Struthio camelus: one gene and its partners. The protein of the gene in region 2 interacts with the protein of the main gene of each other region in a pairwise test. Links are inferred from orthologs where the notes say so. Each region holds a gene or a part of one and is shown on either strand. Other genes may lie near its edges. The genes, in order: QKI, RBFOX2, PSMF1 and BOLL.

Region 1 (7,691 bases), on a different chromosome or scaffold from region 2:
GGCTCTAGATCTTACTCCATTCACATGTTAATCACCTTCCAGAGATCAATGAAGATTCAATGTCCACCTGGTAGTGGCCATGTCTAACTGCTGCATCCCAAATGCAGTGTTTTATATACCACAAACAAGTCAATACTGGATGACAAACGCACCTAAAGTGGTCTTTTTCCTTAAGTGACCGTAAGGGGTAATTGAAGAATTGCTTCTTTCCCTAAAGAAGGGAGGTACTGTTACCTTACTGTTTCAGATAGTATTTGCAGAAAGCTGATGATGTCCAGCTGCAAATGCCTATGACTTGGTCTAGTGCCTCTGTTAGCACGTAGAAGAGATTACAGACTAGTAGGCTTATAGGCTGGAAGACACAACCAACAGAAACAGTGGAAGCAACAGCCAACATTAACTGAAAGAGTATGTTTCCCAGTAGTCATCAGCCTTCAGCTCTCCTATTTCCCAAGCTGCTATCAGATATGAATGTTATAACAGTAATTGAGTTTGCTTTTTATGATCAGTGCAAGGGCTTTACTGTAATACGCAGAGGCTGCTGCTGGAATTATCACAGTTTTTCTTATTTCAAGATTAGATTAACGCAATAAAACTTCACCCCTTAAAAGAGAAACTGCTGGAGAATACTGCAGCTTGAATGGTACAGGAAGGGCTACCTAGATGAAAGCACAGGGGTTAAAGATCTGTATTTCTGCTTGTGTCCCCACAGAATTTAAAGTTTTGGGTTGTTATCTACAGAACTATAAATAGGATCTGGTTACAAAAACAAAAAAAGTCCACATATTTTTCCCCTCATGGGAAAGTAACAAAATCCAGTACAGTGCAACAGCATTTCTAGCTCCTCTGTAGATCAGGCTCCAGGCACGTCAGTCTTCATGGGAGCTCTGAGTTTCACAGCCCTTTAACCAGAACTACTTCTACCTGCGTCTTCCACGCACTCTTAAAATCCCCTTTCTGGGGCATGGAAGTGCAGGAACGAAGAGACAGAGAGGAACATGAGAAGGTATGCTTGGAAAGACTTTTAGATAACTTTGTTTTTACTGTATACGTGATAAAGTAAGATGTCACACTGATGTGCTTATTTAAAACTAATGGTGAGCTATCTGCAATACTTATTGCCAAAACATTTAGCTTCTCTGAAGGTATCTTCCCAATGAATTAAAAATTCACAGTCTTAAAAATATTTGTGGAAAGATGAAGGATGAGAATTTTTCCTAAGTCAGTTATGCCTAATTATATTGGCAGTTTCAGCACATAGATTTGACTCAATTTTTGCACTATTTAGACCGAGAAGACAAATCAGATTAACACAGAGTAAACTAGAGCTTGAATTTTGCAAGGCAATAGCTATTCCTCAGTAACTGCTGGTGTGCATCATCTTATTCCCCGCTAAATAATGTAACATAGCTTAGGGATGAGCTGTTTTGTTTCTATTGGTAAGTAAAACAACTGGCAGTTACCATTCAATAACTTTTGCTAGCATTTCTTACCTTAAATTATGTGCTTGTTTTCTCTGTGCATATTCACACACTGTAAGCACCTTATGTGCAGGGAGCACTGGGAACAGCTGCACTAAATCTGCTGGAAAAAAGTCTCCATTTGCTATTTTTACTATGAGAATTGGCACTCCAGAACAATTATTCTGATATTATCTAAGTTCATCTCATTTTATCATGAAGGACTGCTGGCTGAGTGATATCCTTAATCAAATTGAAGGATTTAATAACAAGTTTTCTTAGGGTTATAAAGAGCTTTCACTCACTGGGTGAAAAACAAGTAAATAAATGGCTACAAGCAAATGCATCATCTTTCAGACTGATCTGCAATGATGACATGCAGGGATGACAGTTTTGTTAGGCCTATAAGGTGTGTTCTGGCTTTAGGCACAACTTTAAAGCAAGAGGGGGGGAAAAAAAGCAATTGTATCTTCATTATTAAATGGGGTATTGTTTCGTGATCCATAGCCATACTGCAGCGTACTTCAGGCATGCTGTTCATGGACTAAGAATCTAAACTGAAGAAAAAACCAGCTCATAACATTGTTACTCTCTCCTTGGTAATAAAACTAGTAGGTGTTTTTACTTGAGTATACAGGGGTTGTGTTTTTTGAATGATGCAACCAATAAATATGACTTATCTTATATAAGTAAATAAATATTACATAGCATAAATCCAAAAAATTCTCTTGTTTTAAAGAGTTCTAAATGTTTACAACAGAAGAATCCAACATGCAACAGAAAGGACGCAATAATCTAAGGCAGTTTTACTAATACGAGAGCTACACTTTCTCTAAATTTTTGTCAATGCGTATCTTTTAGAAAAAGTACAACAGCAGTGCTTGACAACACCCAATAAAACTGCACACTTGTCAAGAAGACAATGCGGTTGTGCTTCTTTTTAGTTTTGGAAGAAGTACTTATGATGAACTCAGTTTTTCAATTTTCTTCAAATACTGTGCGGTACATATGACATTACATATGAATTCTGTATCAACTTCAAGCAATATCTAGACTCATATACTCCTACAACAAGCAGTATCTAGACATATATACGCGTACAGCAGGGGCCACTGCACGGCAAGGCACATGAACAATGACTGCGTGATTTCAGTGAACTAGAAGAAGTGTGAAAGGAAAATATTTTATCCAGTTTTATAATATAAGTTCTTCCAAATTACTTATAATTGCATCAAGGTCTTCTGATGATATCCTAAATAATAAAAATCAAACAAGAACATCAAGTAGCAGCATGGGGAAGGCGACGACGACCAGGAACACATACAAACAATCGCGTCAAGCTGCTTTGCCTCTGCGGCTACAGTGGAGCACGTTAATTTTGATTCTGGCTGCCAGACTCTGCTTCTCCCATCACGTCTCCCACCCAAACCCCCCAAACAAGCTTCGAGTGATTCGCGTCCAACTCCCTGCCGGTAAGGCTCGGGCGCCGGGGCAGTGCCGCGCCGGGGACCTGCACGGTGGTCCGCGCTGCCGAGGACCGAGCCGGGCCCAGCCTCCGCGGGCGCTGCTGGCGGCCGCGGAGCGCCGAGGCGGGCGGATGGTGCCGTTGGCACGCGGCACAACGCAGCAGCACCCGCCGGGTGCGGGGGCCGCCGCTTCTCCGGCGTCGGTCGGGCTCGCGGGGGGGGGGGGAGGGGGCGTGCGTCTGGAAGGCTAGACCGGCACCGCCTGTCTTCCTCCTTCGCCCCGCGCCAGCGCAGCCAGCCAGCCAGCGCCTCCCGCAACGGTCCGCTCCGCGCCGTTCGAACGGGGCCGTTAAACCGCTCCCGCAGCGCGCGGAGAGCGGCACACGCCACCTGTCCCAGCGGGGTGGCTGGGGGGAGGGGGCGCGCTACACCCCCCCCCTTCTCCTCTGCCTTCCCCCGGGGGCTGGTCACAGCGCCGTCCCGCAAGGCCTACTGCCAGGGAGCTCCCTCCAACCCGGCCGCGGCCCCCAGTACCTCAGCCCCGCGCCGCTTTCTCCTCCTGCCCCCACGGCCGCTTTAAGGATTAGAAATTGCTCCTCGTGCCGCGCAGCCACGCGCACCGCCCACAGCCCGCGGGCGCATGCGCGACGCAGTCAGCCGCCCCTCCCCGCCCCCGCCCAGCTCGTTTCCCCTCTGCCGCGCGAGGCGGCAGCCGCGTTGTAAACGAAAGGCGCACGCGCGTCTCGGCGCGGCCCGTCCCCGCCCCTTGGGTACCCACGTGACCCAGTTCCCCCCCCCCCCCCCCCCCCCCCCGCGCGGAATCGGTGAAGTAACAGGACTTTGTTTAGAAGAGTTTCTGTGCGCGCGCGTGTTTCTACGGAGCCAGCCGGGAGGCGGGGGGGGAGGGGAGGGGCGCGGGAGCCGCACGCGACGCTCCGCGCCGCGCCCGCGCGCTTGCGCCACCTATCCGCGCGCACACGCTCGGAGGGGCGGGGCCGGGGGAGAGATACCCCCCCTCCTCCGCATCGGGCCCGCGGCTCGCCGCCCCTCCCCCCGCCGAGCTGCGGCCGCCGCCGCCGCCCAAGGGGCTCGGAGCGGAAAGGGAGCGACGGTTGGCTCCGCCAAGCGGCGCTGCCACCGCCGCTTAACGGCCGCCCCGCCCCTGCGCCCGCCCCTCGGCGTGTGCCCACCCCCGCGGGCCCTGCCCCCTCCCCTCCTCCTGCCGCCGCTGCTGCTGCCGCTGCCAGCGCAGCCTGAACTGAAGCGAACTCCGGAGCGAACTGAGGAGAAGTGAGGAGGCGGCGGCGGGGCTGACACTCACCAGCCACAGGCGGCGGCGGCGGCGGCGGCGGGAGGGCGGGCGGGCCGGCGGGAGGCGGAGAGGACACACCAGGCGCAGCGCGGCGGCAACAGCAGCAGCGGCGGCGGCAACAGCAGCAGCAGCGAAGAAACACCGGCGGCGGCTCCTCGGAAGCGGCAGCCTCGCCAGCAGCGCCCGCCCGCCCCGCTCGGCCCCCCTCCTCCCTCCCCCGCCGCGGAGACAGCGGGCAGCGCCGAGGAGAGAAGCCGGGCTCAGCGTGTGTGTGTGCGCGGGAGGAGGAGGAGGAGGGGGGGAACACATCGAGGACTGCGCCGGCCGAGGGCGCACGGAGCAGGGAAGCGGCCCCGGCGGCGGCAGCAGCACCGAGAAGAGGCGGCGGCGGGTCCTTGTGCCCGGGGAGGAGGGCGCAGCCCGCGAGGGGGTTTCTGTCGAGTTTCCTCTTTTTTTCGGTCCCTTGGACTCGGCGGCCGGTTTGCGTTTGTCTCCGGATTTGAATCCTCCTCCTTCTCCTCCTTCCTCGGGGAAGCTCCCCTCCCCGCCCCCTCCCCTCCCCCACCACCTCCCTGCCCGCTCGGATCCAGCCGGGCGCCCCGTGCCGCGGTCGCGTTGCTCGGCGGAGCTGGTGCGGGCGCTCGCCGTCTCTGCGCGCGTTTGGAATATGGTTGGGGAAATGGAAACCAAGGAGAAGCCGAAGCCGAGCCCCGATTACCTGATGCAGCTCATGAACGACAAGAAGCTGATGAGCAGCCTCCCCAACTTCTGTGGGATCTTCAACCACCTCGAGAGGCTGCTGGACGAAGGTAAAAGCGCTTCCCTGCCCCCTCTCTCCCGCTCCGCCGCCCTGCCTTGCCTCCCCCACCCCTTGCCTGGGCCTCCAGGCTGCTCTCGGGCTCCCGCTCTGCCCCCTCGCCCCTGCCCCGACAGGCCCGGGGTGGCCGTGGGGAGTTTGGGGCCTGTTTGCCTCTCCCTCTCTCTTTCTCTCGCTGGTGTTCATCGCTCGTTCTCGGCCCTCGCCTGAGCCCTTAAAACAAAGGGGAAGTGTGGGATCTCCCCGCCCTGATTCCTGGCTTGTGGTATTGGGGGACTTGGCGAGAGAGTGGGAGGGGAAGAGGGAGCCCTGAGTGTACAGGTCCCTGTTTTTTTTTTTTTGTTGTTGTTGTTGGTTGTTTTTTTTTCCGCGCTGTCTCCTAAAACCGGGGGAAGGGTGACTACCACATGGAGGGGAGGGAGCGAGTAGAGACGAGGAGAGGAGCTCAGGAATGTGCTTTGGGGGAAGGTAGGGGAGGAGGGGAAAGCGTTGTTTGCAACGCTGCGTGGCTCCCCGTTCACGGCGGAAAGTATTGGGAGAAGAGAAGGGTCCTGTGCGGTGCGTTTTGTGGGAGTGTTAGCCGACTCGCTCGGAGGGCCTGGAGCAAGGGGGTTGGGAGGGTGTTTGGTTTCGAGATTTGGCTGTTCTGGAAGCTGCTTGAACTTGAATGACTAAGGCCGAGGGGGCCGAGCTCTTTCTTCAGCTCCAGCACTACCCCACCCCAAACTGGCCACAAACTAATTACAATTTTCCTATATTGCAAGAGAAGCGAGCGAATTCGACTGTCGGCTATTCTTACCTTTTAAAGAAACTAACTTGAAAGACTCCTACGTATGACTTTAGTGAAAAAAAGAAATTACGAAATTGCCTCCTCTGCTGCTGCCAAACGTCCACTGCTGCCTCTAACCCCGGCGCCGTCTGCAGCCCCGCACCCAATTCCTGCTTCGAAGTGATGAGAGGCCGCTCATGTGGGTTGGCGCCCCCCCCCCCACTTTTTTTTTAATAGCTTCTTTTAAGGGTGCGTCTTTACAAATATATGGCTACGTTTTGAAATACGTTAAAAGCTAGAAACTTCATGCGTCCCATACGTTTTCCCCTACAGTGGCAGACTACTGTGTTGAAAATAAGGCGACCCATTTCTTCTTGGTATATTGGATTAGCTTTGTTTGGGTTCACAGATTTGCCTTTCTTTTTAAAAGATTTTCCTTCCCTACCATCTAAACCTTGGCTTTCCGGAAAGTGAGAACTGTTTAACTCTACAAATTTTATAAAGCTACCGAATAAAAACAGAAGTTACTTATGCAGCTTCAACTTCTTGAGAATCTTAGCATGAAATACTGAGTTTCGAGATTTTGAGTTAGGATTTTTGCTTGTAGCCGTATTCCTCCTGGTTAAACGAACTTTGGGAAGTTGTTGACCTCGGAAGATGAAAGAGCTGGTTATATTTGATAGAACAACTCCCCGCCCTCTCCAAAGACTGTAAAAATGAGATAGCAACTGGAGTACAACAGAAAATAGCATATTGAGAAAACTCGACTTTCTGAAATAAATGATAGAGGAGTTTTTTTTAAAAAAAAAAAACAAGTAGAGAATATTAACATAAAAATAGAATCTCCCCATATATAGCTTCCCGTAGTCCGTCTTTTAAAGAATTTGATAAGCTGTAAATTCACTATAAATTTTACTTTTCAAATCTGTGTGTTCTGCTATTTAGAACATGTTTTCTATGGTGATGGAGAACATGACATATTTGGAATAATTAGCAAGGTTTATAATAAACATCAAGAAGAAACTTGACCAAGAAGACTTTTTAGCACAAATGAGCTTTTCATACATTTTAATTTTTTTTTAATTCCTAAATCTCTTGAAGTTTATGTATTTAGCCAGAGAAGGCCTCAAACTTATTTTGTCAAAGAACAAAAGGAAGAGAAACGTCCCAGATAAGGAAAGGACACAGGGGAAAAAAGGAATGTCTAGAGCCTTGCATCTTTTGAGATTGTTTAAATTCAGGAAGCTCTGGAAATCTCTGTTTTGTGAAGTATTAGAATCCAAAAATGAGGGATGTGGAGACTCTTGCAGAAGACGCTCTTTTAAGAGTTAGTAGTGCTGAAGCTATTCTTCACCCCTTCTTAAAAAAAAAAAATTATCTGTATTTCTAAATAGCTTCAGAAAGAATTCTGCTATCCCTTTAAGCTTTTTTGCTTTTCCTGTTTACGTTGGCAATTGGGTGGAAGTATTGTGGAGTCAGAAAACTTTTTGGAATGTTGAAAAAAATGTTTCATGCAAATCTAGTAAATTGCTTCAAGACTTAAAAATGTGAACACTAAGGGGCGCCAGTTATTTTTTTTTCTGAGACCAGGAAACTGGTTTCGAGGCCCATTACTAACCTCAATAGTGAAATTAAAAAATCTAATAGAAGATAATGAAGAGTGACAAAATATTTGTGGATTCATTCAGGTATCTATACTTGTATGCACTTCCGTATATTGTCTGTTTATATGCAGCATTACATAGGTGAAATATAGTGATTTACAGCTGAGAAGTTAGAGCAACAGCTGACACAAATCACAACAGTGTGAGAGGATGTTCTTTAAAACATCTCTCCTGGTTATCAAAGAGATACCATGTTGAATGTC
Region 2 (8,375 bases):
TTCTCTCTCTCTCTTTCTCAAAGAATAGGCTCTTAATTACTTTTGTAAGCACTACTTAAGTTAAACATGGACAATTTACTAAAAAGAAGTAATAAGATACTTCAACAGATTATACTATCTGAACAGAAATCCTCATGAACGGCAACCTTATGATAAGTTTTGACTTTTGGTTAAAAGAATATAGACTTTTTAAATTATTAAAAAACACATCTTCCTAGCTAAGAAATTATTTGTAAGATTGGCATCATATTTAGTATTTTGCACTTACAACTATGAAAAGAGTCTCCAAACAAACACATCACTCTCTTTAAGCCTAAAAAATGTTAGAGTGAAACATCTGGCAAGAAAAAAAAAAATTTATAGCAAAACTTAGAGAAAAGATTTATATCATACTAAGAATACTAAACAACTAGGATATGGAGCTCCTACTCTGAAGAATAGGCATATGGAATAAACTTAATTTTAAAAATGAATTCTACTAAATGCATTTCTCCAACTATTTTTCCCTCAGTACTGCTAGAACCATAACTGTTTGCCGGCTTACAATATGGAAAACCACAAACAATTCAACTCTCTGCTCAGATCCATAATTAATCTTTACTACTAGTAACAGCATTATGCATTGTTGTGCGTACACGGTGATAGTCCCATGGGTAAATGCTCTAACCTCACTATTTTGTACTATTCATTGAACAGATAGCAAAATGCTTTCCTCATTTAAATCTAAAGGGGAGCCTTTTCTGTACTTACAAATTGTACTAGTTTACACAAATATCAAATTTTAAGACGGTTAGTTAAACCAGTTCAAGTCCCTTTGCGGGCAATTTTCAAATGATTTGCCACTGGCTTACATCAATATTTAACCACTAATTGTAGTTGAACTGACACATCTCACATAGCTACCCAGGACCTATGCCTCCGACCAACTCCTAAGACCTAGAAAAATTCCCTTTCACTGGGTTGATACATTCATTCATAATTCTCTAACTATACACAACGCACAAGCATTTCTTCAATATTGAGCATCTTTGCCTTGTAATTATGCACATTGTCTGAGTCATACTTTACACCTATGTGTGGGAGAAGATACTATTTCAAGGAGTAAAAGAGCATAGCGTGCTTCTCACTGGGCCGTATGGGAGCATGAGACACAGCATTCAGGTGTGAAGCTCCAACCTATGTTTAGCTCTCAACATCAGACTGGCTGAAAAAGCAGTTCTGTGCGGTGTAGAGACCACCATGAAAGGCTAAACATCAAACAGAAGTACAAACAAAACCCTCCTGCTGTAAGGCGTTTAAAAAAAAAGAGTCTTGAGTGTGCAATGTGGGGACAGCCTAGAAAATAAAAAGGGAAAATAGTTGGTCAGCAATTAGCATCTAGATCAGAAGAGAAACACATTACAGAGGACAGAATTCTCTCCGGTGAACAGGATAGACCAGCCCAAGCAAAAGTGAGAACAGAAATAACTTTAGTTGAATAAATCACACCATCTTCAAAGAACTCTAACATATCTGTTGCAAGAAACAGAAGCAAAAAAGCACCAACTGAACTGCCATAATTAAATCACACATAACATACAGACAACAGAAAATAGAAATATCTTTAACTCCCTATACCCCCCCCACCCAAATGCAAAAGCAAATGCATCTGGAAAAGTAAAGACCAATCCTTCAGTGATGATCAAAATGTGTAAGGAACAGAAGACAGGAACTTAATCTCTTATCCAAAGTCATCATTCTCTTTCCCAAACTGGAAGACTCTCTCACATGATGTCCTAAGACCCCTTTCTCTGTTCCCAAGAAGCACCTGAAATTATTCCTTATCATTTACAGACAAAGAATCAAAAGAGAATGGATAAAGCATCATTGGTCTTTAACATGCTCCATGTTACGCATGTACCGCGCGTTGAATGTTTTCTTTCGCCACTCCTTTCCACAGCCTCTCAAGGCAGAGCCATCAGTACTTTTGCAGAATCTAGAGCCACGGAGGGAAATGCAATGACAGGAGCACTGAAGGCCTATCTAGCATCAAACAGGACCATCCCCTCAGAAATGAAAACCGTACATTGCAATAACACATGCTCAGCTGAATTCGTAAAACTCACGTAGATCTCTGTCTATGCCAGAGAAGGCATCTGATAAGAGACCTGATCCTCCTCGTTAATTCACGTTATCCCTTGTGTTATTCGACACCTCTACTCCATACGCTAAATATCCCACCGCAACATGCTTTGTACTATACTTCCAACGAGCATCAGCTAGCCAACATGCACGCTTTCTCACTCAACTGGAAAAATTACGGGTAAGGAGGTAGCAAATTAAATCCATAACAAATAACTCATCCCTGGTCTGGGACAACAGAGGCACAGAGGAGTGTCTGGTCACTCAGATTAAGACACTTATGAGATGTGGCAGACAGAAATATGCTAAAGGAGAGCAATTCCTTTAAAGGAGAAGAGCGGCAAGAGATAGCAGCGGTTCTACAGGATTTATTTTGTCTCTTTAGGCGCTATTATAGTTCTCAAGAATCAGGAAGGGGCTTCCCTAGGAAGAAAGCACAGGCGTAGCTTGCGCAGAGCGTTCTTTTTAGGGCAACGGACAAACTGCAAGAAATGATAAAATTAAGATAAAATTAAGATAAAATTAAGATAAAATTAAGATAAAATTAAGATAAAATTAAGATAAAATTAAGATAAAATAATACATATAATTAAGAAACAAGCCAGTCCAAATCCTGCCCATCGTTCCTAGCCGCCAGCAGGGGCGGAGAGCCGGAGCGAGGGGCAGGGATGTCCCCCTCCCCCCCCGCCCGGGGGCGCCCCCCCGCCATTGTATTTCCCAGCGCCGACAAACCCACCGCGTGTGTGTGTGCGTGTCGGTGTGTGTGCGTGTGCGTGTCGCTGTGTCCGCGCCAGGGCCGCCCCGGGCAGCCCGCTTTCCCTCCCGCTACCGGCCCGGCCCGCTACCTGCATGCCGCCACCGTCGGCCTCCCCCTCCGTCCGCAGCCTCTTGCTGTGGCCGCCCTCGGCGCCGTCCCCGCCGGGCATGGGCTGCTCCAGCTCCGGCTCCCGCTTCACGCCGCGGGCGGCCCCGCCGCCGCCGCCGGCCAGGAGCTGCGGCTGCTGCTGCTGCTGCTGTTGCTGCTGCTGCTGCTGCTGCGGGGGCTGGCCGCCCTCCGCCATCCGCGCCGCCGGAGCCCCGGCCGCCCCCCCGCCGCCCCGCCGCGATCGCCCCGCTCTGTCACCACGACGCCCGGCCCCGCCAGCGGCGACGGCGGCGGAGGAGGCGGAGGAGGAGGAGGAGGCGGGCGAGCGCCGGCCCCGCTACCACAGCTCCGGGCGCGGCGGGCTCGGACCCACCGGAGCGGCTCGGTCACGGGCTCGGCGGCGGCCGGGGAGGGGCCGAAGCCCCTCGGCAATCTCCGGAAACGGCGGCCGAGGCGCCGAAGCAGCGCGACCCTCGCTCGGCAACCTTCGGCGACGGGCGGGGGCGGGGCCTCGGGGTGGGGCGGGGCCAGCGCGGGCCGCAGGGCGCCCGGCCGCCGCCGCCGCCGCCGCCGCCGCCGCCGCTATCGCGCCGCACGGGGCGGCGGGGAAATGGCCGCCCGGCGCGGGCCTCCCTCCCCGTCCCCCTCCGCCGCCGCGAAGCCCCCGGTCCTTGCGCGAGCAGCCGGGGCGCCGCGTTGGCCCCAGGCGGTGCCCGCCCTGCGGGGTCGCCGCCTCCGAGGCCCGCCGGCCGCCTGCGAGGCCTGCCCGCGGCCCCTCAGGCCGAGCTGGGGCCTGGCCCGCCGCCTGCCCTCGGTGCCCCGCTCCCCGCCTGCCTTGCGCCTGTCCGCGGGGCGGGCCTTGGCTGCTGCGTCCCTCTGCCCCACTGCGGGGAGGTTTCCGGGCGGTCGCTGACACCCCACAGCGTCCCCCGTTGGCTCCTTCTCTGCCCCTCGCCACCTGCTCCTCTGTAGGACGGGCACGTTTGGGGTTTCAGCAGAGACGAGGCTGTGTAACACCGCGGGGATGGTGCTCTTACACCAATAGATTCTGGTCTGTCTCGTCCCCTGGCCGTGAAGCATATGCTGAGCTGAAAGCAGGTTTTTTTGTCCCGCTGTACAAGTATCTGTGTGGGGAATCATCACAGGGTTTAAGGTGTGCTGCACATAAAAGTGGTTTCATCTTCGCCTGCTCGAAGCCTTTTGTAACGAGGCTGGGCTAGAGATGTTATATTTTGGCTGATAAATCTTGGAGCAGACTGCAGGAGATGCAGGATCCTGTACAGCAGGGCTGCCCGCCTGCTGGAGCAGTTGCGCTGGGGGCAAGGATGCAGATCCCCAGCCCCTCGTGGCAGAGACGTATCCTCAAAGCCCCTACCAAAGGCTCATCCATGTTTCAGGGCTGTTTTTCGGGGAGAGGTTTCCACGGTTACAAGCACAGATTTGCCTGTAGGAGTAGTACTGAGCTAAGGCAAATCTGCAGGTGAGAATTAGTGACCCAATCCCCTGCTTTAGGGGTGTCAGGCTTCTGTAAGGATGCTCTGCCCAACTTGGTACCTGACGGTGCTCCAGCTCAGGGTAGCGTCCTGTCGCTCAGGGCATGCGTCTTTTCTCCTGAATGTTTCCGGGCTTCCTCTGTACGGTTCTGGGAAGCTCACTCTAGGGCACGTCTCACAGTGCTGGTCTCTGATTTCTGCAGAAAGTGGCTGATCTGTTTTTATAATAGCCTCGGTGGGATTCTCCTGCGTTTTTCTACATAACTCCTAACTTGTTTTCCTGCAAATGACTTGCAACCAGATGTAGACATCAGTATTTAAACTTGAAGCCAAAGTTCATCAGCTCTTTTATACTCCTCCGTGTTTTTGATTTTAAGAACCAAATTTTGAATCCTTAGCATGAATGTGAAGTTGATTTTACTGCACAGCTGCTGTCTGGTAGCACCAAGGACAATGTCTGTTCTAGAGAAAGGAGAACACAAGCAGCTTTTGCTATCCTGAAACTAGTTTGGAAGCTTTGGTAACTTGATGGAGAACTAATCTGCAGATCCTAATACAAACATGCAGTTGGTTTTATTATGGCATGGGAATGGGTATTCTTCCTCTGATGGTCAACACTTGAAAAGGAGAAAACCAGGAATGGAGGTGGTCAGCGTATGTCAACACACATGACAAGAAACCCTTCTTGACTTTTCAGATATCACTGTATGTGTTGAAGCCTATGGAACAATTGGATTATCTTGGTGTATCTTTACTCATCTGCTGATCTTCATGAAATGATCGAGCCTTTGATTTTGAATGACAGTTACAATACTTGACTCCAGTCTGCCCATACACCACATTCTTTCTGATCCAAAAATAGTTTTCAAGGCCACGTTAAAAACTATTTTAAGTGGTACGTTTTTGCAACAAGGTGCCAGCTTGTCTCTTCCGGTGACAGGGAAATCTCTTTTTTTCCAAAATGATTACAAATCCCCATGGAGTGGCAGGCACCCGGAGGACAATTACATGTAGTTTTTGTCTGCTCGCCCACCAAGGGTAAACACATGTCTCATTCATCTTGACTGGGTTTGATAAAATGAGCCAGACTGTCAAACAACATTGAATGAACATGTTCACTCCACCCTTGACTTGAAAAGAAGAGAGATTCTCATGATTAGGGTGCTACTCATTCGATGAGAAGCATTTCTGTATTTCTCTTCATCTGCATGCACCTTCCATAACTAGTATTTTACTGGGACATTCTAGATGACTATTACAGATTAAGATCTTGCCTATCAGACACTGCAGAATGCTTCATTTTTAAGGGAGCCAGCCTGAAGAAAAGTTAGCAGTAAACCCTCTGCCATATATGTGTCTGCCTGATATTCCCCTTGAGGAATATCAAAAGAAGGAGTTGTTCAGTGGTGCCCAGGCTCCATTTTTCTCTTTATCTTCCCCTAGTCCCGTTTCCACCAGCTCCTGCCATACACATGTCAAAGTTGCTGCCGGTTTCCCCTCACACCCCATGCTCACATGGCCTGCTCTGCAGAAGAGCGCCCAGGGGAGCCCACAGTGTGTAGGCAGGGCCCCTGGTCAGGCATCTTCAGCTGGCTGTGGTTGGCAGCCTGCAAGCGAAGGAGTCCAGGACAACTGCATAGCACAGAGCACCCTCAGCAATGAAAAAAGCTAAGGCAAGGAAGGTACTGTGCCCTAACCACTGCAGTGACCTGCAGTTATGACTGGTATACTGAGTGCAGTCATCTGCTTTCTGTCATTATTGAAATGATATTTGGTATTATTATTTCTCTAGCTTTTTCCATTTGCACTTAAAAAAGATTAATGATTTAGTCTTCACAATATGCTTGTGGGATAGATACTGTCTCCATTTAACGGAAGGGGTATAAGGCATTCCTGAAGTCACAAAAAAGCTTTTGAGCTGGGACTATGCTGGTAATCCATTGATTTCCTTTCACACAACCCAGCTGCCTTTTAGGTATTTGTATGTGACATCTGAGACATACTAAACAGACATCTGATTCTTCTGTTAACCCTTTCATTGCTGCGCAGCACTCTTGCCTGACTCCTACATGCCATTATTTTATGCACAAGTTTGTGGAGCACTCACCAACGCTTAATCTTTGACAAACCAAAAAGAGGCAGCTATATTAAACATTATCCTTACAGAGGAACGCTCAGAAATTGGTGTGAAGAATATATCTTTCTGAACAAATACACATCATTTTAGACTAAAGTTTTTTTTCTTTTTCTTTTTCCTAGAAAGGCGCCCTCTGAAGGGACTTGAAGGAATATGTTTTGGTGCTCCCATTGGCCTGAAGATCAGGTGGCATCAGGACAACACTGAGTTTGAAAGCTCTGTAGAAGTACAGGGAGTTGAATCTCACTATGGTGCTCTGGTGGAGCAGAGGCAATGACTCACGTAAGCTCTAAGGAACCGGCAGGAAATGAGGCACAAACTCAGCTATTAGTATTTGACCCAATGGCATAGGAATCATTAGGAGACAGTTCAGAGTGAATCTCTTCCCTTCACCGCCACAACAGAGAAGGGTTTCTTGCTGTTTCCATTGTCTGCATACGACGTCTCACCCTGTTGACCTCACCAGCTCCTCTTGCCCGCTCAGCCTCCTGCAGCTTTGCCCCCTCTCCTTCCCAGGGGATTTTATCTCTCTGCTAAACGGGTCAGTGGAGATTTAATAGTTTGCCCAGCCCTGCTCATTTCTGCTGCTTCTATCCTGCCAGCCAAGATCTTGGAGCCAAAGCTCTTCCTCCTGACAGCAATACTCCCACAGGTAGCGAAGAGCAGCTGAGGTAAAGTTTCTGCCTGCACTTTGGTCCAAGTTTCACAGGAAGTGTGATACAGCTTTCCTTAGTGAGAAGCATGGGTAAATATTTCTCCTTGCTTATCTATAGCTGGCTCTTCAGAACTAAGTTTTATTAACAGAAGTTGCCTTTTCTTGTCACAGGTTAGCACACAGCCAAAAATACATAACGTAAGTCAACAAAATTTGAAGTTTTTGTCATCTGACTTAAACTGTCTGTATGAAGGATGCCAGTCCTCAAGCTGTGGCAGGAGGCCAATATTGATATGTTACTCTGACGCAACAGTGCTGGCAGCGGTCAGTCAGCAAGTCGACACCCACAATGCACCTGGTCTTTTGCCAGGGCCACCTCTTGCAGTGAGGACATTGGGCTTCAGCAAACACCATTGAGCACCTCGGCGCTCCAGCGACGTAGCAATGGAGACAGCCAGGAACCACCAAAGAGCTCCTAGCAAAACTTCCCTGTGTAGCCATGCCTTGTTATTTTCCTACCTGCTTCAAGCCTTGCTGAAGTGCTATTTTCATTGCTGCTAATTACCAATAGGCCTGTGCTTCTGTGGGGTATCATCATGTACCAAAGTTGCGTCATTTCAAGTATACCAATCCTGCTAAAGCCGTACGACACCTGCAGTGCAGATGCAGTTATCTGCATATATGCAGTTAGCATAAAGATGCTTTCTGCCTGCACTGCTTATGCCTGTAAGGGCAAGGAATTAAGTAGGTCTTTCAGCACTCCTAATATGAAGGGACCTTATAACTAGTTCTGCAAAGGAACTACAGTCCCCCAAACATATGATAATAGATAACTGCGAAGACCTTGCATGGGAAACAAAAGGTCTTTTGCTTTTATGTTGAGAAAGTGGGGCTGACCAGCTCAAGATAAATGGTGTGAACCACAGAGGTGCCACAGAGAGCGCATGGGGACACAGACCAGAAAAACATTGGTTCTCCTCCACCTTCTGGATGCCAGAGGCCAAGGAGCAGATAAGTACCTGGCATTTATTTCCCTCAGCTACCTCTCAAAAGTAAACCAGAGGTTAATGGAGGCTTGAATTTACGTCAATGGACTGGTAGTGT
Region 3 (7,829 bases), on a different chromosome or scaffold from region 2:
GCACAAGCAACGGGGCTCGCCTGCTTTCTGCCCACATCACTGTGCAGTGCCTGAATTCCCCAGAGCGCACAAACTCCAGTGCCAGCCAGGCTCTCCCTACTGGCTACCCCAGTCTGGGCCGTAAAGGGTCAAAGACAGAAATCCTGTGGTGCAGCCTGGGGCCATGGCACAAGGCAAAGAATCCCTGGGCAGATGCTCAGTGGGGACAGGGCAAACGATCTAGAAATACATCCTGACCTGATAAAGGGACACAAAAGGGGCAGCTACTGGGCCAGAGCGTGCAAAGCAAACCGCCTCCCTGTGCTGATGCAGTCACATGTGCTACCGCACGGGCAGGTTTGCAGGCTATAACTTATTGCTTTACAGCCAGAGTCTGCCCCATGCAAACTCCACAGTCGGGACAAATGAGGAACAAATGCTGCTTCAAGGTCTAACAAGTAGAAGCAAAACATTTTAAAAATGGGCCCTGCTGTTCTTTGCACCCAGGGCATTTTGGATGAACGTGACCGCTGCACCTGGAGGGCCACAATGCCGGCAAGGACCAGCCCTGATGCTCACCATGACATTGAGGATCATGCTGTCTTCCACCATGATCGCCTTCAGCAGCAGCTCACGGGAATCATCCGTGGACTTGTACCGCAGTGTGTACAGCTCCTTGTTGGCCTGCCAGCCGGTTGGCAGCAATTCTGACTTCCTTTCATCGGGACCTGGCTACAGGAAGACAGATAGGCTGCTGAGACCCTGACCACCAGACCAAATTGCTGCAGGGCCAAGAAAACTTGTCCTGGCTGTGTGGAGAGATCTGGGAGGAGATCCACATCTCCTGCAGGGATCTGTCCCTGCCTTCCAGAGTTCGACAGCAGGAGCAGGGCCCAACTGCCCCACGGGACCCCTGGGCTGCAACGGGAGGGACACAACCACCCTTTGCCAGCTAGGAAGACGCAGAGGAGGGGACGATGTTCTTCGCTGACCAACACCTCTCGGCCCCCCCCAGCGTGGGACAGAGCTGCCCAGGGAACTGTTGCCCCGTTTGTGCCAGCCCCAGGGCGGTCACTGCCGGGGGGCATTGCTGCGGGCTGCCCCCTCCCCAGCACCCAGGTGTTTCTTGGCTGGGACAGCACCCTGCACCCCAACCACTGCCTATCCCCAGTCCCGCACCAGTCAGGGGCTTGGACCCCCCCCTCCCAGCACCACACCAGCCCCCCAACCCAGAGACCCCACCGCACTGCAGACTCCTCTTGGGAGCACTGCACTGGGACCCCCCCAGCACCAGGACCTCCCCCCCAGCACCAGGAACCTCCAGCACTGGAGACCCCTCCACCCCGAGCACCAGGACCCTCGAGCACCAGGTCTCTCTGCACACCGGGACCCCCCCCCAGCACCAGGACCCCCCCCAGCACCAGGAGCTCCTCCCGAGCATGGGGACCCCCCAAGCACTGGGATCCCCCCCGAGCACCAGGACCCTCGAGCACCTCCCGAGCGTGGGGACTCCCCCAGCACCAGGATCCCCCCAGCACTGGGTCTCTCTGCACACCAGGACTCCCCCCAGCACTAGAGCCCCCCCTTCAGCACTGGGTCCCTCCGATCACCGGGATCCCCCCGCAGCACCGGGACCCTACGAACACCGGGCCCTCCCCCAACACCTAGACCCCCCCGCCCGGGAGCATCGGGACCCGGGAGCATCGGGTCTCTCTCCACACCGGGCCCTCCCTCCAGCACTGGGACCCCCACCTCGGACCACCGGGATGCCCCCCCGAGCACCGGGACCCCCCCTGCGGAGCACCGAGATCCCCGCCAGCACCAGGTCCAACCCTCCCCGGCACCGGGACCCCCCCCCTCGAGCACCGAGATCCCCCCCAGCACCGGGTCCAACCCCCCCCCAGCACCGGGACCCCCCCCCCCCAGCACCGGGTCCACCCCCTCCCCCCCTAACACCGGGACCCTCCCCCGGAGCACCGAGATCCCCCCCAGCACCGGGTCCAACCCCCCCCCCAGCACCGAGACCCCCCCCGAGCACCGAGATCCCCCCCAGCACCGGGTCCAACCCCCCCACAGCACTGGGACCCCCCCCCCGAGCACCGAGATCCCCCCCAGCACCGGGTCCAACCCCCCCCAGCACCGGGACCCCCCCCCCGAGCACCGAGATCCCCCCCAGCACCGGGTCCAACCCCCCCCAGCACCGAGACCCCCCCCCCGAGCACCGAGACCCCCCCCCAGCACCGGGTCCAACCCCCCCCCAGCACCGGGACCCCCCCCCCGAGCACCGGGACCCCCCCGCCCCCGAGCACCGAGATCCCCCCCAGCACCGGGTCCAACCCCCCCCAGCACCGGGACCCCCCCCCAGCACCGGGTCCAACCCCCCCCCCTAGCACCGGGACCCCCCCTGAGCACCGAGATCCCCACCAGCACCGGGTCCAACCCCCCCCCCCAGCACCGGGACCCCCCCCCCGAGCACCGAGATCCCCCCCAGCACCGGGTCCAACCCCCCCCCCAGCACCGGGACCCCCCCCCCCGAGCACCGAGATCCCCCCCAGCACCGGGTCCAACCCCCCCCCGATCACCGAGATCCCCCCCAGCACCGGGTCCCTCGAGGATCGGGTCTCTCCCCACACCGGGCCCCCCCTCCAGCACTAGGCCCCCCCCCGGACCAGCGGGACCCCCCCCCGGACCAGCGGGACCCCCCCCCCGGACGGCCCGCGGCCGCGCAGGGCGGCGCAGGCCCCGGCAGGCCCCGGGCGCGGCGGCGGCGAGCGGCGCTGGGAAAGGCCGGGGCCGGCGGGGCCTGCGCGGCGGCCGGGCCGGGCCGGGCCGGGCCGGGCCGGGCGGTACCTGGTCGCCGGCGCCGAGGCAGCGGTAGCCGTGCCGCACCAGCTCCCAGTGGATGCCGCAGAGCAGCGCGTCCTGCGGGCGGGAGATGGCGGCCCGCGCCCAGGCGTAGAGCGGCTCCAGCCCGGCCATGGCGCCGCCCGCAGCCAGCAGCCGCCGGGCCCGCGGCAGCGACCGGCCCGGCCGGGCGGGGCGGGGCCAGCAGCGGGGAGCCCGGGGGGCCGGGCCGGGCCGCGCTATGGGGCCAGGCGGGGCCGAGGGGCCGGGCCGGGCCGCGCTATGGGGCCAGGCGGGGCCGAGGGGCCGGGCTGCGCTGCGCTGCGCTGTGGGCCCGGACGGGGCCGAGGGGCCGGGCTGCGCTATGGGGTCAGACGGGGGCGGGGGCCCGGGCCTGGGGGGCCGGGCTGCGCTGCGCTATGGGGCCAGGCGGGGCCGAGGGGCCGGGCTGGGGGGCCGGGCTGGGCTACACTATGGGGCCGGACGAGGCCTAGGGGCTGGGCCTGGGGGGCCGGGCTGGGCCAGGGGGCTGGGCTATGGGGCTGAGTTTGGCCATGGGGCTGAGCTGGGCCAGGGGGCTGGGCTGTGGGGCCAGGCCGGGGCTGTGGGGCTGAGTTTGGCCATGGGGCTGGGCTGGGCCAGGGGGCTGGGCTGTGGGGCCAGGCCGGGGCTGTGGGGCTGAGTTTGGCCATGGGGCTGGGCTGGGCCAGGGGGCTGGGCTGTGGGGCCAGGCCGGGGCTGTGGGGCTGAGTTTGGCCATGGGGCTGGGCTGGGCTGGGCTGTGGGGCTGGGCTGTGGGGCCAGGCTGGGCTGTGGGGCTGAGCTGGGCCAGGAGGCTGGGCTGTGGGGCCAGGCTGCGCTATGGGGCTAGGCTGGGCTGTGCGGCCAGGCTGGGCCAGGCTTGGCTATGGGGCTGAGCTGGGCCGAGGGGCTGGGCTGGGCTGGGGGGCTGGACTGTAGGGCCAGGCTGGGCTGTGGGGCCGAGCTGGGCCGGGGGGGCCAGGCTGGGCTGTGGGGTCTAGGCTTACTTGTGGGGCTATGCTGTAGGGCTGAGCTGGGGTGTGGGGTTGGGCTCAGTTTTGGGGCCAGGCTGTGGGCTCCCGGGTCAGGTGTGGGGCCAGGCTTTGGGGCTGGACTGTGGGTGCCCAGCCCGTGGCCTGGCCCCCCGCAGTTGGGGGGGGGCAGCCGGCAGCCCCCCCCCCCCAGCCAGGTCCCGGCGTTGGGGCGGGGGCCACAGAAGCTCCCCAGTGCGGGTGGGGGGGGGGGCAGCCCCCGGATGGAGCCCCGCACGGGCGCCTGCGGGGAGCTCGGGGCGCCCCGGCCTCGGCACAGCCTTTCGGGGCCCCCCGGGAGCAGCCGTCGCTCCGGCGGGGAGACGCGCACTCGCTAGAGGGCCCTCGTCCCTCGCGCAAAACCTCGGGTGGCTCCGGCCGTCGGCAGCGCTGGGGAGCCTGCTGCCCCCCGAGGGGCCGGGCTCCCCCCGTCCCGTCCCGTCCCGTCCCCGGGGCGGCCCGCGTCGGGGCCGGTTTCCCAACCGGGCGTTACGTGGGGCTTCCTGCCGTGGCCGCCGCGGGGCCGGCAGCGCGCGGATCCCTGCCAGAGCCTCGCCGCGGGGCCCGTCTGATAACTCCCGTCCGTCCCCCACGTCTCTCTTGCTACCTGCCCGTTGGCGCAGAAACCCCTTCGGCATCCTTTACCTGCCGCTCCGCGGGGCTGCTCCGACGTCCTCCCTCGGTAGCTCCGCCGGCGGCACATCGTTTGATACGATTTATTTTTCTCGGCGCCTTTCCTTGCCACTGGTTTCTGCTGTGCAGGATTGACCTGTTTTCCCTCGTCTCCTCGGAGCGTTAAAGGGGAACCAAAGAGTTTCTTGAAAGAAAATGTAACCACCCAGCCGAGGGCAGGGCGGGCCGTATCTGCCGGGGCTGGGAGGGACATCGTGTTCCACCTGCAACGCAGGGAAGAATATAATATTGCTGCCGCATCAGGTTTTCTAGTGACCTGCCAGGATATGACCGGCGATGCAGCTCCAGTCCTTCCGCTCCAGTGAATTGGGGTTATCTGCAGCCCGGGGCTGATGCGTTCCCTCTTTGACATCACAAGGCTTGTTTTTTTATTCTGAGACATTTAGTACTTCTTCATGTACAAGAAAAATCTGTATGTGTGGGACTCATCTGCGTGCACACTTGCTCCCTTGTGGCTGCGGATCTGGAGACTGCGTATGTGGAAGGGCTCGCTCAGTAATTTCCCCGTGCCATCACCCCAGCTTGGCTGTGCAGCGTGGTCGCGGGGTCTCCAAAGCGGCCTCGCGTTCCAGCCGTGCGCCTGGGAGTCTCGCTTGGTTGAGATCTGCCTGCTTCCCCGTGCTTTCCTGCAGCCCAGGCTCTTCCTAACCAAGCGTCAGCCCGTGACCAAAGCATTTGCTGGAAAGTTAAGAAAAAGACAAAAGAATAGTGCCGTATGCATTCAAATGCCCTCTTATATTTGGTGTTTGCTCCGGCTTCCCTGAGGCACCTGTCCCGGGGGGAACAAAAGGCTGAACTGCTATTACCAGGGTTATTTCCATTCCTTCCCCAGCTCCTCTCTCTGGGCCACGTTATTTACAACACTTCAGTTCTTGTTAAAGTTGCCATTGAAACGTAGTCAGGGACTTATTTTTTCTGAACTGATTGTGGATCCGAGGCGGTTTTCTCTGTGGCTCCTCTGCCCAGCATGAGGCCAGGAGCTGCCACCACTGCTGGGACCCTATCGATGCCAGTGGCAGGATGTGAGGCTGGAGCAATCCCTTGGATGAAGCAGCCCAGTGCTGGGGAAAGCCGTGATCTGCTGCTGAGCAGCAGCTGAGCTCCAACTCCTTTGGGATGCTCTGACTCATCTTGACTTCATTATGCATTTATTAATTAACGCACAGGCCACTCTTTCCATTTCCCTCTCAAGAAGTCATTGAAGCAGAACAATTGACCGCAGACCGTAGGGCCTTCCTCGCAAGGAGCTCCTTGAGCGTTGCCCTTCACATGAGTCATCTCCCCGGTGGCTGCGGAAACATTACACCTCTTGCTAATCTCACCCGTCAGTGCTGGCTCCGCGGAAGAGGGACAGGGCTTGGGAGCCAAGTGTGAAATTCTGCTCGTGTGGAAATCAGTAGGAAAGTTGCCACTGATTTCAACAGGGCCCGGGTTTCATCGCATGTGTGCAGGACTCCAGACCTTCCTGGTAGCTTCTTTGCTCGTGTGTAAGCAGGCAGCGGAGCGTGGCCAACATGCCGTGTTTCTTGGGTGGGAAGGTGGGCGGGAGTCCCGCAGCAGTAGGCTGCGTACAGCCTGGGGACGTGGCACGGCCGTCAGCCCCGCAGCCCCTCGCCGGGCACCGCTGCCGGGGAAGGTGCGGCAGGAAGGAGGCGATGCCGGGAGGCTCCCGCTCCGCTTGGGAAACCGCTGGGTCAGGATCGCTGGTGCGACGAGGGGACGGAGGGCAACCTGTCCCGAGACCTCGGTGGCCTCAATGGGAGATGGGCACCCAGACAGCACTTGGATAGGTGCAGAGCCAGGGCCGGTGCAAATAGCCGCAGAGATGCCAGCGAGGTGGAGCAGGTCTCACTGGGCGCAGGGCTGGCGGGGGACTCGGGGCTCCCCCGCGCGTTGGACAGGGCGAAAGCCCTCCCGTGGGGTGGCTTGGGCAATGTAGCCTACGGAGATGTCTGCTTAGTAAAAGAAGCATCTGATCAGGGTTCAATGATAATGGCAGGAAATGCCTGAGCCGGAGCCTTTCCAGTACTGGGCTCGTGATTCACAACAGGCAGAATTTCCGTCCGCCCATCCCGTGGCTCATTTCTGATGGGCAGCAGTGGTGGTTTGCAGGCTTTAATGGCATCCACATTTCTCTTTTCAGGCACAGCCTTCCCCTGTGTGCCGAGTGGTGTACCAGATGCCCCCCGCCCCCCCCCCGACTCCTGGTGGCTTCGTTCGAGTGTCCTCTCCTGAGGCGGAAATCATGAGTCTTTCCTCCAGAAAGCTGATCCTCAATCCTGGCCCATCTTATCACAGAACTGAAAATGCACCATGCAAGCTAGAGACCCGCCTGGGCACAGCTGGAGTGGTTAGCGGGGATTCACCCTCGCCTGCTGGAAGGTCCACGAGTGTGCGAATAATTAGGAACTGCAAATTCTAGGAAATAGCGGTCCCTGAGTGAGAAGACAGGGCACAGGAGTTTGTACACAAAGTTATGCGAAGTGCTTATCGAGCTTGAGTTTTTCCATCCACCTTACTACCACCCCTGTCCACCCAACCGCCAGTTTATCCACCCTCCCACCCATCCCCATGAGCTGCTGTCCCACCGCTTGTCCCCCTGCGGCCTTATCTCGTGGTCCAGCTGTCCCTCCATACGTTGCGTCCGTGTGCCAAGCCAGACTCCAGGCTATAAGGCAGGAGCACGGTAAAGCCAGCCTAGTCAACACAGAAGTTAAGTAACTTGCTGGCTGTTTTGTTTTGTCAGGGGAAGATCTTCTAATTGGAGCTGAAGGCTGGGATCCTTCCTCTCCCACCCTTGGACCAGCTTGAGGATTCCTTCGGGCAGGCAGGGTTTTTGCAAGAGACCTAATATTTGGGGTGTGACTTACTTTATTTTCCCTTCCCCTGGTCAAAACGGCTTGCAGCTCTGTGTGAGAGGAGGGAGGCACGAATTCCTCGGAGGCAGGCGCGGTGGCGGGGCAGCCACGTGCCCATCCCCGAGCCAGGCTCGGGTGCGCCGCGGCCCCGGGCACGCCAGGCTCCTGGCCCCTCGCGGCGCTGGCAGGGCCGGCCCTGCAGGCCCCGCGCCGGCGCTGCACGGCAGCACCCCGGGGGTGGCCGTCACGGCCTCCGGGCCTGAGGATACTTCCCCGCCGCCTTTGCTCTCACGTGGGCATTGTCCTGCTCCAGGACCCTGGCCGTGTCTCCAAACCCAAAGCCCTGAGCTGGCACGGCGAGGCCCTGGCAGCAGCTGTCCCGTCCCATCCCATCCCGTCCTGT
Region 4 (7,362 bases), on a different chromosome or scaffold from region 2:
TATACTATTCCCTCTCCCATCTGTGACTAGCTGTGATGTTTTTAGATGACACAAATCTTGTCCCAACACTCAGCTAATTAAATACACTGTGGTACGACTAAATTTGATGGATATTCAGCAGTTAACGAGCGTTAAGAAGAAATAACGTAAACAGCAATATATATATACACCTAGATAGAAGGAGATACCACGAACCGTGGACTACAGCGGCTCCAAATCTGTTGCTGCGTACCAGCAAAGGCTCTGATACTACAGCTTATCAATCTTCACAGGTAGGGCCAATCATTCACAAAATAACCTGACACAAACTAGGCAAAGCTGACCTACTACTGTAAATTATTCCCAGCATCTACAGATTCAAGAAAGGATAACTGAAAGGCCTCATCCAAAAATTCTAATATTTTTAAACAAAATTTGGCTTACGTTCTGAAATCTGTTTAACATGTTAAACAGCACACAGTGTTCTGTTCAGGAGTGATCATCTTTCTCTGCGCAAAAATTACATTCAATCTGAATCCCATAATAAGGGACGTAACATAATCCTTTTAAACATAATCCTTCCAGATAACGTAAATCCTACATTAGAGCAACCATACTGGGTCAAACCAAAGCCCCATGCCCACGCAGTCCACTGGATTTTGACACTTGTGAAAAATGAAATGGCTACAGAAAAAAAGAAGAACAGGGCACACACAGAATACCTCCCTCTGAAGTATTCTTCCAACTTCCAAGTGCCTGTGGCTCTGGTACATCTGTGTAAATAACTCACAATTATTAGCAATTATCACGTATTACTTACGTGATAAACATGTACCGTTCACTGAGGGTCAAGTGATTTTGCATTTTTTGCACTAGTATGAACAAAACTCAGTAACGTCAGTAGTAAGCGTCTAACCCGAAGAAAAAAGCATTTTACATTTTAATGTAGACTATTCCTTTCTACACGTAATCTTGGTCGTCACAACGGTACCTTGCAAGAGAGGGATCTCGTACAACCAGGTCCAAATTCAGTAAGATAACCGTCATCATAACATAAAATTATAAATACTTTAAAGCTGCATGAACTTCCTCTCTTGAACTGAAATCCTGGCGGTCTACTCGTATCAAAAGGGCAATACTCCTCAGAAAGTCATTTCCATCACCTGTGGTGTGCAGACACAACTTCACTATTATTATCCTCAGCCCCTTGTTATGGGAGCACTGTGTGCCTCACACTATCCGTACTGAGATTAGTCTTTCCTATGACTTTTCCATCTCCTGCAAAGTTCAGAAAGGAAAGAAAACCCAAAAAAATTATCGAAATTGAAGTTGTCATCTGTTATATACTAATATTACATTCACCAGTCTCAAGTAGATAGTGGTAATGTGGAAAATACAGCGTCCTGGCCTCTGCTTGCCACCAACTCTCTCTGTTCATAAACTGCTTTAGTAATGAGAAACAGGGAGAGCTCTCCTCAGCCCTTTCTGGACCTTGTTTTGGCTGCACTGGATGCTCTTGGCACATGCATGTGACACAATCTTAGACCCACAGTCCTGAAAGCTTTAGAAGAAAGAAAGTCTTCTGTAGAGAGCAACCTTAGAAGGACGATGAAGCAGGTTACTTTCTTCATCTGTTAAAATGGACACACCATTTTATTTCTGTAATTATCTGGAGACTGTGCTTAGAAATACATTATTAAAATCTAACTACGAAAGTAATACTTGACACCACAACAAAAAACGTGTTCCTTATCTCAAAGATCTCCCATTTCACTTTCCTACACAAGTCTTAAGAATTTTAAGTGCCTCACATAAAAAAAAAAGAAATGAGTAATTAAACACATCAATTATGAACTCTCTTATACAGTATAAGAAAGACTTTTTAAAAAACACTGAAACTTGCATTTTGACAATTCGCTTAAGCGGTGTTTCCTTGCCTTAATGCCATTGTAGCAGTAAGAAAACAGGATAAAAGAGATCTTTATGCTAAGGTCCTATCACTTGCCTAATCATTCGTGCATTTATGCTTTTTTTAAAATTCACTTAAGTTTTCATCATCTGACTTTTAAAACACTGTATATACACAAATCCAACAGATCTGCTATGCCTGACTTAGTACGTTTGGCAACTGTTCTTTGCCAGCACTGACAAGTTTTTATTTTCATGCTGAATACATCCACGGTCAGAAAGCCGCTACACGAAACCACGCAAAACCAGGGGACTGCTTCCACCTTCCGATAAAACTCCTCCTTCTCTTTACCGCCTCCGTCTTACAACGTCGAAAGTTAAGTCATCGGCGTCTCCCAGGTATTTACTGTGTTGCTCCTGCAGCTATGTACGTGCCGAAAGGACAGCGGCTCCGCTGGGACACCCCAGCTAGCCGCATCTCAACGCGAGGCGCCGGCGGCGGCGGCTCTCGGGCTGCAGGAAACGCGCGGGAGCGCTCAGCTCCCTGCGGCACAGGCCGGCTGCGCTCCCCAAGCCGTTACAGGCGACAGCCGCCGCCCTCTCCCACAAAACGGCCTTCCCAAGGGCTGTGCCGGGCGCCACCGCAGCACAGCCGCCGTCGGGCGCACGTTTAGGGCACGGGGGGGCGGACGGGCGGGCGGACGGGCAGCCCCGAGGGGGGCCGAGGCCGCCCGCGCCCGGCTCCTCTGAGGCGGCACCAACCGCCCTCAGGCGCGGGGGCGGCGCGCGCTGCCCCTCCCCCCGCGCGCGCTTTTGGCGGGAAAGCCGTGCCCGGCCGGGCCGTGCCCAGGGCCGCCCTCGCCCCGGCCCCTCAGGGCGAGGGACGGGCCGCGGCGCCGCCCTGCCCAGCCCCGCCGCGCCGCGCCGCGCTCCCCTCCCCTCCCGCAGGAGCGGCTCCCCCCGGCCCGGCCCGGCCGCCCTCGCTACCCCGCGCCCGCCTCGGCCCGCTCGTCACCGTGCCGTCGGGCTCCATCTGCGTCCGGGCGCGGCCCCGCGGCCCCGCCGCACGTTGCCGGCACGCGTCTCGCTCCTCGGCGGGCGGCGGCGGCGCAGCGCGGGGGAAGGGCGGCGGGAGGCGATCGGGCGGGCCCGGGAAGCGGGCGGGGGGCGGGGGCCAGCGAGCAGCCCAACCGCCGGCGCCCCGGCTACTAGGGGGCGGCCCTGAGGGGCGAGCGGGCCCAGGCGCGCGTTGATACCAGGGTTGAGGGACGAAGCCCGGCGCAAAGTGACCCGGGAGGGACCCAGCCGCCCCCGCGGGGTTCCCCCCCTCCCCGCCCCGCCGCAGCCGCCGGCTGCCCCCGCCGGGCCCCGCGCCCGGCACCGCCCCGCGCCCCCCCCCGCCCCCGCGCCCCGGCCCTATCGCGGCGACCGGGCAGCCGCTGCCCCGCCGCGGCCGGGCGCCCCCCGCCATGGCCGGCACCTGCTGGCGCTGTCAGTCAGCGGCCGGGCGGCCGCCTCGGCGCCTCCCGGGGCCGGGGGGGCCGCGGTGCCCCTGCCGCCGCGTCCCCAACTGCCGCCTGCGCGCTTCGTCCCGCTCGCACATGCCAGGTGCCCTGAAAATAGCTCCGCTGCTAAACCGCCCTTGGGCCGGAGCAGCTCCGCATCAGCCTAAGACTGGCAGTGCTTCCCGGGTAGCTTTACAGCAGGGACCTCCCTCTTGAGCTTAAAGAGCTGCCGGGCGGTCGGTGCTGCTGCGGTCCTGCGCGGTGTCTTGCCTCTCTGGTGCTGCTGCGGCTTCTGCCGCTTCCCGCAGCGTTATCGTTATCACGGCGAATTACTTAAAAACTACTAAATCTGCGTCGGTAACAGGTTACCGCTTAACTCTTAGTAGTGATCTTTTTAGCTCTCTGAGAAACCCATATAAAAATAAAGGCAACTTCAGCCCAGCTGGTGAGGTTCTTAGAAAGAAATAATGGTTGTTTTTAAAATACAGAGTTCTGCTGAGTTGTATTCACTGACCTACTTTCATGAACATGCATCACACAGCAGCAAAGCTTATCCGAAGAACAGCACCACGTTTTAATGATCTGCGTGGCAGAACGGGCCACGTCTTTCATGTGCTTCATATTGGGAGTTGGGGAATTCAAAGTCAGAACAGCTGAAAGAACACAGAAACATTCGGAGGCATGAAAGTGTCTTTTGCACGGTTTTAATTGCTGGAGCTTCCACCTTACACCTCCTCCTCGGGTTAAAAGCCTAAATCTTGGACATCTTGCATTTAAAATGAGGCAATTGTGACAAAAATAGGAGTTTCGCAAGTAAATGAGGAAGATGATTGATCTATTTTTTATTCTGATACTTTTAAATCTGAAAACCCGAAAATCCACAAATTTAATAATATTACAAGCAGAGCTGGCAAAATATGTTGCCACGCACACGGGACTGAAATATGACCACAAAAGTGGCGAGGCTGCTGTGGCGCGACGCGGCTGCCTGGTTAAGGGCCGAGCGTCCCGACTTAGGAAGCCATTCTCAAAGGCAGATAGGCGTGTGCCAGCTTTTCCTGACTCTGCATGTCAGCAACACAAGCAGCATGAAGTGCTCTCTCCCCCTGGCTCTCTCCCACAAATTAAAAGCCAGCGCTGGACAAAGACAAGAGTCCCGCTGTGCTGGTTCCTGTAGGCTCTCACCTTTTGTCCTTTCTTTATAGGATCAGAGAGACGAGAGAAAGTCGGAGGTTAAGCATGGAAAGATAAAGGAGAGAGCAAAAGAGGGGGGGGAAACGATTTGGGAGGGGAAAGGAGGAAAAAGCACAAAAAGTCAAGGATGATTTTATGAGTAATACATGGGCCTGGTAACAGACTACTGTTTCACTGATGGATGGCTTGACCTTGGAGAAGACACGCCACCTCCTTTGCTTCTATTGCTTATCCGTAAAATGCAGATAATAATGCTAGCTTACTTACCAGCATCTTAACATCCTTTCATGGGAATATGAGCATTAATACATTTTTATTAGACAGGGGGAGCCAGGCTGCACCTGATGAAAGATTAGTTCCTTCCTGCTCTCAATTTCATAAAAACGTCTCATAGGATGTTACTAAAAGATTGACTTTTGTCTCTGTTGCATAGGATACAATTGTATGAAAAAAATCTGTAATTTATAAAGATGTATGCAGCAATTTCTCTTACAAGCTTGTGAATAGATTCTCTACACTGTGAGCCTTATCCAGAACAACCAAAAAAAGGAGAGCTCTAGATGCTCAAGGAGGTTGAGGAAACCTTCTAAGAGAGTAGCTATAGTCTTTAGAAGCCTATTACGGTGGTCATCTAGATAGCACAATTGAACAAAAAAGTTGTGGGCAGTGCCATGTGAAAAATGCTGAAGGAAATGACTCATTTCCGGGAAGTTTTCTATTCATTCAAATGGGTGTGTGTGTATTTCTCGGATAGGACTTTCTCATCCTAGAGGCTCTTTTCCCACACCATCCCCATTCTCACTCTAGTTCTGCACATCTCCCTTCTAAAGGAGCAGTAACTCCTTCTGTCCTCGCCTCAGTTTTTACCATTCTCTCTGCGCTTTGTCTGTGCCTCCCACTTTGTGCCTGAATCCCCTAATAAAACTCTCGCCTTCATCCTCTTGTCTGTGCCCCCCTTTCCTCATCCGACTGCTTCACTGATGTTTTCCACCCCTTTATTAAAGCCTCTGCAGCCATCTCTGTCGAGCTCTGCTTCAGCCTGTTTCCTAAGGCTCTGTCAAACTGACCAGCTGCTCTGCTGAGAATTGATTTCCTCATTTCTGTCACGTCTCACATTTTCCCCACCCTCAGTGATGGATGACTCAGAGGAGCGGAAGACTTGGCGATCAGTAGGCTGGACTACTCTCCCCCTACTGTTTCCCCAAGGTGGTAGATTGTGACTGCGTAACCCAAGCATCCTCATTCATTAACATTAACACCATCATAGATTGTTTCTAGCTCAAAATGTATCAGGACATCTCCAGATTTCTTTGAAATTTTAAGACTTATTTAGATGTTATACCTTCGTTTAAAAATGTTTTATTTTCCAAAAGTAATGCTCAGCATGACATAGGTTATTGGAGGCAGTACTTAAGACTGGCATCCTTCTGTCTCACTTCAGAGCTCAGAATATATGCTTTACTTGTAAAGGAGTCTGTATGTGTTTTATTTTACATGTCCTCAAGGAGGAAGAAACTTACTTGAAACTGCTGCTTACAAGTTCTATTGCTGATCAAACTTCTTGTCACAGCTAAAACATGGTATTGCTAAAAGAGCCAAAACCAGAAAAGTACTTCCAAGTGTGGTGGCATCTGTATTTGCCTGTTAGGAGTCAAATTGTAAAGATTATCAATCCTTTCCTAAATGTCCCTAGCAAATGGAAGAATTATACTACAAATAATTAGTGCAGGTTTGTACATGTTGATACATCTCTTATCTGAGTAGCAACAGATACTCCTGCTCTTGAACTACGGAGTCCTTTGTTTAATCTGATAATGAGATTATTAATATGAACACCTAAATAGGTCTACTGAGAAATCTGATTCCTTTATGTATTATACAAGCATAGTCCTTCAACAAGACACCATAGACGCGTGTCACACGGAAATTTTAATAGGTCTCCAATTAGGTGGGTGAAGAGAAAATCATCAGACTCCTGATTTACATTAACTTAGTGTGACAGACTTGATTGGTTTTTCCTCTCGTTTTGCTCTACTATGTTTCCTTTATTCAAACAAAAAATCAATGCTGAACTTGACGTTGATAAATTATATTTTTTCAATATTCTTTTGCAGTTGTCATAGTATTATATTTTACATAGTTCATTGAACTGAATGTAAAATTCTGCAGACAAATAAATGAGTAGAAAAGACTGTAAACAATTGATATGTACTATGAAACAAAAGTGGGGAAAAAAATTACTTGCAAGAAAAAAAGTATAAATCAGACCTTGATTGCTTTGGAAGTGTAAAGGTAAATGGATATAAGCGTGACTTAATATCAGCTTATGCTGCCATCATATTACAGAGCTCTTCTTACAAGGTAAAGAGTTACTTCATTTCCTAAATCATCTGATGGTCATCAGACAAAATGGCTTTGATTCCAGGTTTTACAATGTGATTCTCTGAATGTCATTATATTTCCAGGTACTTACACAATGCCAGATGAAGAAAATGAAGTAAAAAATGATCTCACTGTAAATAGGATGTTGCTGTATGTTCCACGTACAGCACGTTTCCACGTACAGGGAAAATTTTTAAGGGTCATGTTGTAATTTGCTTTATTGTGTTTTGGGTCCAGTCTTTCAAAAGGTCAGGAGCTTTCCTCTCTACTGACTTCAATGATTTGAAGTAAAATGCCACACATGAATATATTAAAAGAGCCAAACCGCTTTATGGTTGTCCATTATATATTTTCTTTTTTTTTTTCCTTTTTTGTGCAATTGGTAGTTTACTCC

What was found.
Region 1: the proteins of RBFOX2 (region 2) and QKI interact in binary tests that used the Homo sapiens proteins (3 or more experiments, as listed by UniProt). The link is inferred for Struthio camelus from reciprocal best matches to the Homo sapiens genes RBFOX2 and QKI.
Region 3: the proteins of RBFOX2 (region 2) and PSMF1 interact in a two-hybrid assay, tested with the Homo sapiens proteins (2 studies listed by BioGRID and IntAct). The two-hybrid records come from large-scale screens. The link is inferred for Struthio camelus from reciprocal best matches to the Homo sapiens genes RBFOX2 and PSMF1.
Region 4: the proteins of RBFOX2 (region 2) and BOLL interact in binary tests that used the Homo sapiens proteins (3 or more experiments, as listed by UniProt). The two-hybrid records come from large-scale screens. The link is inferred for Struthio camelus from reciprocal best matches to the Homo sapiens genes RBFOX2 and BOLL.

What each region holds. Positions count from the first base shown.
Region 1 is NC_090944.1:86,806,816-86,814,506, forward strand, and holds the start of QKI (KH domain-containing RNA-binding protein QKI), read left to right. Parts: upstream 1-4,225; 5' UTR 4,226-4,905; coding exon 4,906-5,047; intron 5,048-7,691. UniProt on the Homo sapiens protein: RNA reader protein, which recognizes and binds specific RNAs, thereby regulating RNA metabolic processes, such as pre-mRNA splicing, circular RNA (circRNA) formation, mRNA export, mRNA stability and/or translation.
Region 2 is NC_090942.1:59,494,247-59,502,621, reverse strand, and holds the start of RBFOX2 (RNA binding protein fox-1 homolog 2), read right to left. Parts: upstream 3,198-8,375; 5' UTR 3,183-3,197; coding exon 2,967-3,182; intron 1-2,966. UniProt on the Homo sapiens protein: RNA-binding protein that regulates alternative splicing events by binding to 5'-UGCAUGU-3' elements. Prevents binding of U2AF2 to the 3'-splice site.
Region 3 is NC_090959.1:18,290,867-18,298,695, forward strand, and holds the start of PSMF1 (proteasome inhibitor PI31 subunit), read right to left. Parts: upstream 3,035-7,829; 5' UTR 2,959-3,034; coding exon 2,830-2,958; intron 712-2,829; coding exon 559-711; intron 1-558. UniProt on the Homo sapiens protein: Plays an important role in control of proteasome function. Inhibits the hydrolysis of protein and peptide substrates by the 20S proteasome. Also inhibits the activation of the proteasome by the proteasome regulatory proteins PA700 and PA28.
Region 4 is NC_090947.1:11,692,838-11,700,199, reverse strand, and holds the start of BOLL (protein boule-like), read right to left. Parts: upstream 3,033-7,362; 5' UTR 2,921-3,032; coding exon 2,903-2,920; intron 2,457-2,902; exon of another isoform or gene 2,099-2,456; intron 1-2,098. UniProt on the Homo sapiens protein: Probable RNA-binding protein, which may be required during spermatogenesis. May act by binding to the 3'-UTR of mRNAs and regulating their translation.